Canis lupus familiaris: one gene and its partner. The protein of the gene in region 2 purifies or fractionates together with the protein of the main gene of each other region. This does not show direct contact. Links are inferred from orthologs where the notes say so. Each region holds a gene or a part of one and is shown on either strand. Other genes may lie near its edges.

Evidence for each region. Proteins that work in one complex are often made in the same cells at the same time.
Region 1: the proteins of RNF187 (region 2) and YAP1 purify together in Homo sapiens (affinity purification with western blotting; 3 studies listed by BioGRID, with this or other methods). This does not show direct contact. The link is inferred for Canis lupus familiaris from reciprocal best matches to the Homo sapiens genes RNF187 and YAP1.

What each region holds. Positions count from the first base shown.
Region 1 is NC_049226.1:29,540,003-29,545,416, reverse strand, and holds part of YAP1 (transcriptional coactivator YAP1), read left to right. Parts: intron 1-3,592; coding exon 3,593-3,723; intron 3,724-5,414. UniProt on the Homo sapiens protein: Transcriptional regulator with dual roles as a coactivator and corepressor. Critical downstream regulatory target in the Hippo signaling pathway, crucial for organ size control and tumor suppression by restricting proliferation and promoting apoptosis.
Region 2 is NC_049235.1:239,798-245,907, reverse strand, and holds the start of RNF187 (E3 ubiquitin-protein ligase RNF187), read left to right. Parts: upstream 1-2,740; coding exon 2,741-2,784; intron 2,785-3,207; coding exon 3,208-3,937; intron 3,938-5,280; coding exon 5,281-5,373; intron 5,374-5,567; coding exon 5,568-5,789; intron 5,790-6,110.

The sequences.
Region 1 (5,414 bases), on a different chromosome or scaffold from region 2:
CTCATGTTTTAATAGCAGCATAACTTCTTCAGAGCATTAGAAGTTACTGTTTTATGCTCCAGAACTGTCCATTCATTCATTCAATGTGCCCTTAAGAGACAGAGAAGAAATAATTACAATAATGCATAGTAAGTGCTAAGAACATGTTCCATATATGCCCAAGACTGTTAAACCATCACTTCTAATCAAATCCGAAGGTGGAGATGAGATCGTCATGGAGAGTCATCTGGGGAAAGGAATGGGGTCTTAATAGGGAAGAAAGAAAGGGGTTCTAGTCAAAAAGCACATATGGAAGGACATGGCATTGAGGTCCTGCTATAGCCTCACAGGGAGTGCAGGGCACTGCTCTACGGTACTTATCACTTTGCAGGAGGAGATGGGAGGATGGAGAGCAGATAGATGACCTAGGTCCCCAGAAGCCACTAGGAGAGTAGGTTGCTCATTAGCAGGAAGAGGAGTTACACAGACCCGTGGGACTGAATGATCCTGTGGGGAGGTGGGGATGGCAAGAGAACCAGAAAGCCAGACTCCATGATGTCTACAGTGTTCTCACTTCAATGGGAGAGAGGTGGGAATGGACTCGAAAGCGTGTGCCAGATGCTGGGTGGTGACCATGAGAGTGTGAGAAAACGGTGACCAAAGGACAAAAAAAAAAATTAGAGTGGTACAAAGGCCCATTCGAGGCCAAAGACCATTAATTTATAATAGTCTGAGTAGCTGTTTGATTTTTCTCTAGCATTTCTTAGCAGTCTCAGTATAGAAATGAAGTAAGCACGCTTTTAACATTCATTCAGGGCAGCAATTTGCTCTGTTGAGATGAAATTATGTGTGTATTTCAGGATGTGAAAGGGGCCTATTATGTGTATTTTACATGATTGGCTCAGAATTCAAGCTCATGGGGAAGGAGAAAAAGAACCAGGAATTGGCCCATGAAGGAAACAGAAATCAAAACCATAACCAGGGCACCTGGGTGGCTCAGGTCATGATCTTGGGGTCCTGGGATGGAGCCTGGTGTCCAGGCTCCCTGCGCAGAGAGTCTGCTTCTTCCTCTGCCTTTCCATTTTCCTCCTCATACTCAATCTCTCTCAAATAAATAAAATCCTATAAAAGAAACCCATGATGAGATACCACCTGTCAGAATGGCCCAAATCAACAACACAGGAAACAGCAGGGGTCAGCGAGAATTTGAAGAAAGAGGAACCTTCATGCACTGTTGGTGGGAATGCAAACTGGTGCAGCCACTCTGGAGAATAGTATGGAGGTTCCTCAGAAAGCTAAATATAAAAATACCCTATAATCTATCTTCCAATTCCACCTCTGGGTATTTCTCTGAAAACAACAACAACAACAACAAAAACCACTAATTCAAAAAGATACATGCACCCCTCTGTTCACTGCAGCATTTTGTACAATAACAAAGTTGTGGAGCAAACCTCAGTGTCCATTCAGCTGTCAATCACTTAACCAACTTAAGCGTCCATCAACAATTGAGTCGATAAAGATGTGTATATCTTGCCATTTGTGACAACATGGATGAACATATAGGGCATTATGCCCAGTGAGATAAGTCAGAGAAAGGCAAATACTATGTGATCTTACTTCATAAGTGGAATTGAAGGAAAAAAAACAACCAAATTTACAGAAAATGAACAGATTGGTGGTTGCCAGGGGGTCAAAAGGTTCATACTTTATACAGCATGGTGACTATAGTTAATGATTATAATTATTAGCTATAGTTAATAATACTGCATAATAAGTACATATTTAAAAGTTGTTAAGAGAATAAATGTTAAAAATCTTCATTCGAAGAAAAGACTTTTTGTAACTCTGTGTTGTGATGGATGGTAGCTAGACAGAGGATTGCTATGGTCATTTCACAGCGTGTACTAATACCAAATCCTTGCATTGTATACTTAAAACTGATGCAATGTTGTATGTCACTTAAACCACTATTTTATTTTTTTAATGGGAAAAAAAGAGAGCCAGTCGACTGGAATCGTAAGAGATGAAGTAGAGTCCCTGAGGCTGGAGGGCAGATGGAGTGGGATTGAGGTCATGCAGGAGCTGGGTGGGAGGAGAAAGCAGGGTGAGTGTGTGCAAGAGTTCTTGGGGGTGAAATCGCTACACCCATTCCAGAGTTGCCGGAGATGCAGGACCCTCAGGGGTAGATTGTTCCATAAGCTTGATGCACTGATAGTGATTGTGGTGCACACGGTTCAGGGAGGTGACACGCCGGTCTTCATCCCAGGCAGGCCTGCAGACTTAAGTCCCATGGTCTCAGCCAAGCAAGCGGGTGATTCGGATAGGTGGAGGTGAAGGTCCTTGAGATCCAGGTGGTCGAGGAGCTGCCATGTGACCTAGTAATTAATCTGTAAATAACAAGCTCTAACAGCATGTCTTACAACTTTTGTACTATTGAAATGGTAATGAGCATAAATGGTATTTTAAGATAATTTGCAACTACAGTAGGATATGAAAACGCTGTCCATGGATGCAAAGTAAGAGGATGACAAATACAAGTGTTGTCATCTGTGTTTGAAGAGAATGCTGAATTTCAGTTACAAGTTAGTAAAAATAAAAGTGAATTTTCTTCACCCAAATTCATAGACCCTCTGCATTCTGTCATGATCCTCCAGTTAAGAAACCCCAGTGTAAAGGACGGTGTATTCAGCAGGCCTAAAGCTGAGTGAAAAGCAGTGTTTTCTGCACGAGGCGGAATTGATGGTTTAGGAGTCGGGGTGCCTCAGGTGTGCCTTCCTGAACAGCCAGGCAGTGTCCTTAGCAATAAAAAGCCACATTTCTAGTCAAATCAGAAAAGCCAAGGGAGAAGGGAGCCTGTGCTCCCACAAACAAGAGGTTAATGGGAGTGTGAGAGGCACGGCAGGAGCTGTTGGGGTGCCTGGGTGGATGAGAAAGGTGAGCGAGGACAATGTCAGGATGGCCGGATGAGGTGATGTAGCTTCCAGGTCCTGGACACATTTGAGACTGAGGTCTGGGCCATTGGGACAGGCCCTTTAGAGCCATTTGGGTGGTAGTGACCCATGGTCTTTGCTGAGCAATCCAGGTAGAGTCCTGCTGAGGATACGTTGGATGGCTCTGAGCACAGCTGGGGATGGAGGAGTGTGAGGTCAGGTGCAGACACCGGACAGCCAGGGGCACTGGTGTGGTTATCGCTTATCACCTGGTGTGGTTTTTCCGACTTTGCCTTGACTCCTTGGTGCCGAACAAAAAATCAGCTGAGGGTTGGTGAGTAGAGAGAAACTATAAGAGGCATTCTTTTTTGAAAGACCACACTTCCCATCCTTTCCCATAGGACAGGTTTGGGAGGGTCTGCCAAAGTAAGAGAAATAACAAAATGAATTTAGGGAATCCTGTGTATCTGTTCAGGGGTTTGTAAGACAAGATAGACTTTGAATTTATGTGACTTAAGTGCAAAAGAACTTGGTGTTTCTGACCGGGTAACCTATTAGTTTTGACCAGAGTTTAACACCTGAACTCTGTACCTGGCACGGTCATGTGCATTTTATTTCTTTAAATTGAATGAAGAGTTTGTTAGCAGTAGACTGACCATGTTGCTGTTTGTTTTTTCTAGGAACTAGCTCTTCGTAGCCAGTTACCAACACTGGAGCAGGATGGCGGGACTCCCAATCCAGTGCCTTCCCCCGGGATGTCTCAGGAACTGAGGACGATGACGACCAGTGGCTCGGATCCCTTTCTCAACAGGTGGGTGAGAGCTGCTTGTGGCTTTCACGGGCGTCCCCTTGGGGCTGGTCCTGACCCCATGAGTAAGTAAGTACCCTTGGGGGCCAGGCACTGCACTGTGAATGACCCTCACCCATGACAAACCCTGTGAAGCTCCAGCATTCGAAGCTGGCTCCTGTGGGAGGACCTGGGCCATGGGGACTTATGGGGGACTTGTTCCCAGTCATGTGTTTGCTTCTGCCTGCGCTGTGAAGCAGCGCAGTGATGTAATGTGGCAGAGTCGTGAAGGAAGGCATGCAAGGGGGTCGTCCTCTGGAGCAGCCCCAGTGATGTGGGACCTGGTCTTCCTGCAGCAGCTCCTGAAGGCCACATGTTTTTAAGGACTGTAGCTTAAGGACGTGAAATGTACGGTGGTGCCTCCTGTAGACACACTGCACAACAGGCAGGGGCTTGCAGGTACTCTTCAGTGGCCTCATGGAGCTGTGGTGAAAGCTGCTCACCCACAGGTCCTACTCCTAGGTTTGATGACCATTCATCCGTTTAGGTTGTAAAATGTTCATGGAGTTTCAGTTTGTTAACATATGGAACAAATACTTTCTTGTCTGTACTTTTTGGTTTTCGGATTTTTTTTAACTAGTTTTAAACAATGCACCTTTAAAAACATTTAAAGGTCCTTTGGTTTAGGAAAGCTGTTCTCTTACGCTTTCAGTTCTCAGAAGATGAATTGCAAACTTCATGATCTTAGAAAAACAAAATTTTGGGACACCTGGGTGGCTCAGCAGTTAAGCACCTGCCTTCGGCCCAGGGCGTGATCCTGGAGTCCCAGGATCGAGTCCCACGTCAGCCTCCCTACATGGAGCCTGCTTCTCTCTCTATGTCTGTGCCTCTCTCTCTCTCTCTTTCTCTCTCTCTCTCTCATGAATAAATAAATAAAATCTTAAACAAAAAAAAAGAAATTTCTTTTATCCTACCAAGACATGCAGTCCAGTCCAGTAGAATTTCCATTTGCTCAGTCTTAGACTTGGGGTTGGGGGCCTGGTTTTTTAGGTTTGATCTTGAAGACTGTCTAAGATGTGTTCGGAGTTTGTGGTTCTGCCAAACCTGAGTGTATGTACACGAGGCTCTGAACATAGACAACAGTGAATCAGGAAAGGTCAGAGCCACATGACTTTTCCCCCCCACAAGGAAGCTTTCAGCTTGGTGTGATTGCAATGTCCATCTTGTTGGGCCTCGTGTGGCCCGAGGGTAGAGGCAGACTATAGAACGTGGATATAGGCTGGGCATCCTTTGTGCAAATTCTTCCTGAGAATGTCTCATGAACACTAGGCTGTAGTTTGAGATTCTGTCTCTTGGTAAAGGTCACTGGGTGTCAGGTGATCGGCATTACTAGGACCAAGGGCAGAATCCTTTTTCCAGGCTGTATGGTACTCCCTGTCCTAAACCCTCATCTGACGTTCCATTTCTCTCTTGGATTCAAGCATATCCTGGAGACTTCACACTGACCACCAGGTTGACTCTCAGCCCTGGCACAGAGTCCCCCTGCCCCCCAGAATCCCAAGATCCTGCTTTCCCATGCTCCTTCTTTGTTCTCAAAGCACTTTGCTCACATAGCGCCTGAGTATAGTTCATTAACACACATGTTCATCTGTCTCCTCGACATTATGAGTCTCTCAGAAACCATCATCTGTAGGTTTTTGTAGTTGTCTCTCTGT
Region 2 (6,110 bases):
TTTGTCTTTCTCTGACTTATTTCACTTAACATAATACACTATAGTTTCACCCAAGTCATTGCAAATGACAGGATTTCATTCTTTTTGATGGCTGAGTAATACCCCACTGTGTATATAGACCACATCTTCTTTATCCAGTCATCTGTTGATGGACATCTGGGCTCTTTCCATTGTTTGGCTGTTGTGGACATTGCTGCTATAAACATTGGGATGCAACTCATGCACACATTTTCGGATGGATGACTACTACAACTTGTTCATTCTCTATTACTGGAAATTTGAGGTTTTTGGTTTTTTTCCCCAAATAGTGATGTGACAAACATTTCTCAAAACCAAACCAAGCCAAATCAGGAAAGGTTTTATTTCCATTTGGGTTTATTTTAATAGATCATATTTTGGAAAAAGAAATTGCAAAGGTTATTAAAATTCTGAAGGTCCTGACTACATATTGCTACCTTGTCTCCCAGAAGCAATATTTGCAAAATCCAGGTTTTTTTTTTTTTTGGGGGGGGTGTCTGCTAACTTAATGGTGAAGAAAAATCTTATTTTATGTTCCTATTTCTTAACCTGGCCAGAGTGTATTTTTCCCCCACATCTATGATCTGAACAAAAGGTTTATAACAGCTGTGATTTGGTTTCAAAAAGGAAAGAAAACATATAGAAACCTAATAGAAGATTGCTCGCTTTGGCAGCACATATAGAAACCTAATAGAAGAGGAAAGGAAGCTACACATAGACGAAGGTGATAGTAGGCAACAAATGCGAATAAGACAGAACTACATCAAGTCAGGTACCAGAACATCCAACCTCACTAGCTGAGGAAGCCCGCTGGAGACAGCCAGGCTGGAGTCCACACTGAGAGCCCTGGGTGGCGTGTCCTCCCCTGAGGTAAGACTTCTAACTGACCGTCTCCAAAGGGCTGTGTTTATAGGGCAAATGTCGGGGTCTGAAGCTAGGCATCTGTTCCCCTAGGAAGAGCGAGCTGCATTTTCACTGCAATATGTACTATATTTTCAAGGATCCTGGGCTAGGTGTGTCTGCCTACCCTCCTGGAACCCATCCTGGAGGGCCAGCCCTGCCTGCAGCAGGACAGGATGCAAGACAAGATTTGAGGCTCTATGTGTCCAGACCAGAAGGGCCGGTGCCGACCTGGAGGCCAGATGACATATTTTAAATAACCAGTCTCTCAAGATCATGCACACAGCCTGAGTCTCACAAACCACATCTTAGCCTGCCTGTGCATGTGCAGGTGCAGGTGGTCAGTCCCGCTGAGCAGATCACAGAAACCTCTATCCATACACAACAATCTATTCAGTAATTGTTTTTTTCTGTGAACTGACACATCCTATGGGGGGGGGGGGCTATTTCTCAATTATATTTTTTCTGTACCAAATTTTATGAACTTTTGTATGTTTGTAGTTCAAACTTTGCAAGTTTGGCTTTTGACCATTCCTGTTCCTATTTACTGTTCTACTCACTGAATATCATGGAATTTGTTGAACTCCTTCCTTCCTCTCTCTGTTCTCTTCACTAGGTTCTTTTTGTTGTTGTTGTTGTTTAGGGTTTTATTTATTTATTCATGAGAGACAGAGAGAAAGAGAGGCAGAGACACAGGCAGAGGGAGAAGCTCCATGCAGGGAGCCCAATGCAGGACTCCATCCCAGGACATGGGGATAATGCTCTGAGCGGGAGGCAGAAGCTGAACAGCTGAGCCACCCAGGCATCTCATCTCCATTAGGTTCTTAGTTTACCCAACTAATTGGGTGCGCTGGGTTTGAAGCCTTCTTCTGACCATTATGGAACAGAACTAACCTTACTTCGCTAGTTACACTTTCCATGCATTCTCAGGTCTATGCCAAATTTTAATAACACAAAACTGGAAGCAATGTAACACAATCTGCATCTGTATGGAATAACAAACTAATTTTTTAACACTTAAAAATTATGTAGTGCTAAGTTACAGTAATTTTTTATTTCAACTGCATGCTTGCTTGTTTTGAAAATAACTGTGGAGGCTGAGAAAATTAGGGCCATTCAAGTTTAACATTGGCACAAGCACACTGTAGCTTTGGTAGCAGTCTCAGACCACTGCGACCAGGCTACTGTGACCAGGTACTGAACTCTACCTTACCCTGGCTACAGAAAAAAACAAAAACAACAACAACAACAACAACAAATCGCGCCCTTATTAGAATAAGGAAGCAAGAGCTTGTGAGACCTCTTTACTGGAGACTCTCACACCCCCACCATTACTGAAAAATCCCACCTTCCTCCTAGACCAGCCCATAAAAACCCAGTTGGAGCCCACCTCGGGGTCCAAGTCCCTGCTCCGCTGTGTCGGGTGTACTTGGACCCAAGCTCGAGCTTGTTAATAAACCCTCATGTGTTTGCATCGGTGTCGGCTCCTTGGTGGTTTCTCGGATTCGCAACCTTGGGCACAATACAACCAACCAGATTGCTCCTCTCTCCAAATTTTTCCCCCTAAAGAAATGCTAACAAATGTCTGGGATCCTGGAGCTTTGGGTCTCATGGGACATACTCATTCCCTGCCTCCGGATTCCTCCGCTAGGGACGCGCGGGACAGTGGGCTGGAGGCCTGTTATGCCCGGGGACAGGACCGGTCCCGTGCGGGGCGGTTCACGCGAGGAGGCGCGTGCAGAGCGGATGCAGCAGGAGAGGGAACACTCGGGGAACCGCATGCAGAGAGGATGCGCCGGGAGAGGGCCCACGCGTCGAGGGGATGCACCGGGAGCGGGCCCAGGCGGGGCGGCGCGTGCAGAACCGGTGCACACGCGGGGGTCCCACGTCAGCCGTTTTCAGCCCGGCCCCAGCCCAGCCCCAGCCCCAGCCCCAGCCCCAGCCCCAGCCCCAGCCCAGCGTGGGCGGGGAGCTCGCAGCTCAGGTCCTAGCAGCTTACAAAAACACTTTTATAATGAAATCTTCGTAAAAAAAAATAGGGGCAGCCCGGCTGGCTCAGCGGTTTAGCGCCTGCCTTTGGCCCACGGCCGATCGGGTCCCACGTCGGGCTCCCTGCGTGGAGCCTGCTTCTCCCTCTGCCTCTCTCTCTCGCTCTCCCCTCCCCCTCCCGCCGTGTCTCTCATGAATAAATACATAAAGTCTTAAATAAAAATAAAACGGCTTCCCTCTCGTCCAGGTGTCATTTCCGGGCTAAGCGATAACCCTGGGAAGATTTCGGCCCGTGAGAAGGCGGGCAGGCGGGCCGGCCCGCGGACTGGAGAGCGACCCGCGGGAGGCGGGAGGCGGGAGGCGGGAGCACCGCTGCCAGGACCCCGGAGCGCGGCGCGCACCCCTGCCAGGACCTCGTGCGGAGGCGCGGCCGGCCGGGCTCCGCGAGCGTCAGGCACACCGCTGCCAGGACCCTGCGTGCGGCGCCCCTCCGTCACCGCCCGCGCGTCCCCGCCGCCGTCCGCGTCCCGGCCTGCGCCGCGCCGTGCCCTGCGGCCGCGCTCCCCAGCGCCCTTCTCGGTCCGTGCCCGCCGCCTCTCCGCCGGCCGCGCCCGCCCGCAGGGCCCCCGCCGCCGCCGCCCTGGCGCTCCCCGCGGGCCCAGCCGAGGCCGCCTGCGCCCTGTGCCAGCGCGCGCCCCGAGAGCCGGTGCGCGCCGACTGCGGCCACCGCTTCTGCCGGGCGTGCGTGGTGCGCTTTTGGGCCGAGGAGGACGGGCCCTTCCCGTGCCCCGAGTGCGCCGACGACTGCTGGCAGCGCGCGGTGGAGCCCGGCCGCCCGCCCCTCAGCCGCCGGCTGCTGGCGCTCGAGGAGGCGGCCGCGGCGCCCGCGCGCGACGGCCCGGCCTCCGAGGCGGCCCTGCAGCTGCTGTGCCGCGCCGACGGGGGCCCGCTGTGCGCCGCCTGCCGCATGGCCGCGGGGCCCGAGCCGCCCGAGTGGGAGCCGCGCTGGAGGAAGGCGCTGCGCGGCAAGGTGCGCGCGGGCGGGACCGGCCGCCGCCCCGGACAGGGCCCCGGACGGGGCCCCGTTTCCCTCTCCTCCGCCCTCAGACGGTGGCCCGCACCCCCTCCCCACCCCGGCCCCTGCCCCGCGCCCCCCGCCCCCCGCCCGGTGCTCTGACCCCCGGCATCCTCGGATGGCGCCCGGCCCCTCCTCCCCAGCCGTTCACCCCTCACCCTTAGATGTTGTCCTGTCCCCGCTCTCCAACCCGGGTCCGCGCCCCAGACTGCTCTGCTCCCTGTCCCCTGCCCTGCCTCCCAGTCCCCACCCTCCGCTGGCTTCCCTTCCCCCATTCCGAACCTGGGTCCCTGTCTCCAGATGGCATCCTGCCACCCGCCCCCAGGGTTCCCTGTCTCCCCATCCGGAACCCAGGCCCCTCTCCCGGAGGGACGGTATCCTGTCTCCCCTCTCAATCTTCAGAATGGTGTCCGATCCTCCGTCCAAGCCCCGCCCCGCCCCGCCCGGTCGGAAGGTGCCGGGTCCTCTCTCCAACCAGGGTCCCTTCCCCCAGGACGTGCTTTGTTCCCCCTCGCCCATCCCCGGACATCGCCCCCTCGCCTTATCCCGCACCCCTGAAGGGCGTTCTGTGCACGCTCCCGTCCCTGGACCATTCTCCTCCTCCACCTCGCACACGCAGCCCCTGTTCCATTTTCGGAGGGTTCTACCACTACCCCCGTCCGAGGTGGGCGTTCATCTGTTGGCCCCGCCTCCACGTGTGATGTCACCCCGCAGCAGCCCCACCCCCGCGGGCTGGACCGGGCGGCAAGCGTGGGCTGGCAGCTGCTGTGGTCCAGGTGCCCCCTCCCTTCACCCAGATGCTTCCCCACTCCATCCTGAAAGCTTGGCTGTTGCAGTCGACCAGTGCATGGGGCACCTGACCCTAGGTAGAAACCCACAGTGGAAGAGTCTGGCTGTAGCTGGGGGCCTGGGGACACCCCCTAAAGGGGGGTCACATTATGTCATTAAAGACAGCCTGGGCTCCCCTGAGCACCCTGGGGGTGGATTGGAGCTGGGCTATGCTCCTGCTGGGGGAACCCACAGGTGTAGGGTCTGGGGACCCTAGGTGACAGGAACGCTAGGGAGCCCACGGGATAGTCTCATATCCAGTTGCCTGATTGTATTCCTAGCAGGTGCATTTGTCAGGCTTCTTTCTGCAGAGAGCTTAATGGGCCTGCAGAGACCCCCCTCTGGTACCTGCAGCCCCTTTCTGTGGAGTCTGACAGGTCAAGATCACACACTGAGCCTGTCCCCAGACTGGCTGGGGGACCCTGGGCCTTCTGACTGTGTGTCCACCAGCGACCCGCGTGTCTTTTTAGGAGAACAAGGGGTCGGTGGAGATCATGAGAAAAGACCTGAACGATGCACGGGACCTGCATGGCCAGGCCGAGTCTGCTGCGGCCGTGTGGAAGGCAAGTGGCGTAGGCCTGGGGCGCACCCAAGGAGGGGATGTGGGTGTGGGCCCTGACCCGGATCGGTGGGGGTGCGGCTGGGTGCTGCACACTGCAGCAAACCCCCCTCCCCGGGGTGGGTAGCAGTGGGGCGGGAGGCCCCAGGGTGGATCCCGGGGCACAGGTGTCCCTGCCGTCTGCTTCCTGCCCTGCAGGGACATGTGATGGACCGCCGGAAGAAAGCCCTCACCGACTACAAGAAGCTGCGGGCCTTCTTTGCCGAGGAAGAGGCGCGTTTTCTGCAGGAGGCGGATAAAGACGAGGGGTCCTTGGAGGATGAGGACTCAGACCCGGCTGAGCGCTTTGGGTCCCTGCTGCAGGCTGTGTCGGAGCTGGAGCATAGGCACCGCAACCTGGGCCTCAGCATGCTGCTCCAGGTGGGCACCCCCTTACTGCAGACCCCAAGGGAGGGCGAGGAGGCAACTCACTAGGGCACAGGGCTTCCCACCAGCCAGGCAGCTCCTGCTCAAGGTTGGATGGGAGGACTGACTCTGGGACTCTGGCCTGTAAACACCCCTTGTCTATGGCAGGTCTGGCAGCCCCTGCCCTTTTGTCTTCAGGTCCCTGGGGTGCTGTTCCAATTCTGGAACGGCTGAGTAATCAGCTCCCAGGGGTGGAGTGGCTGCACTGAGGCTCCAGCCTGGGGGAGATGCCAGAAGCTGGGGGCGCCTCAAGGCCTGGGTCTCTCCTCCCCCCTC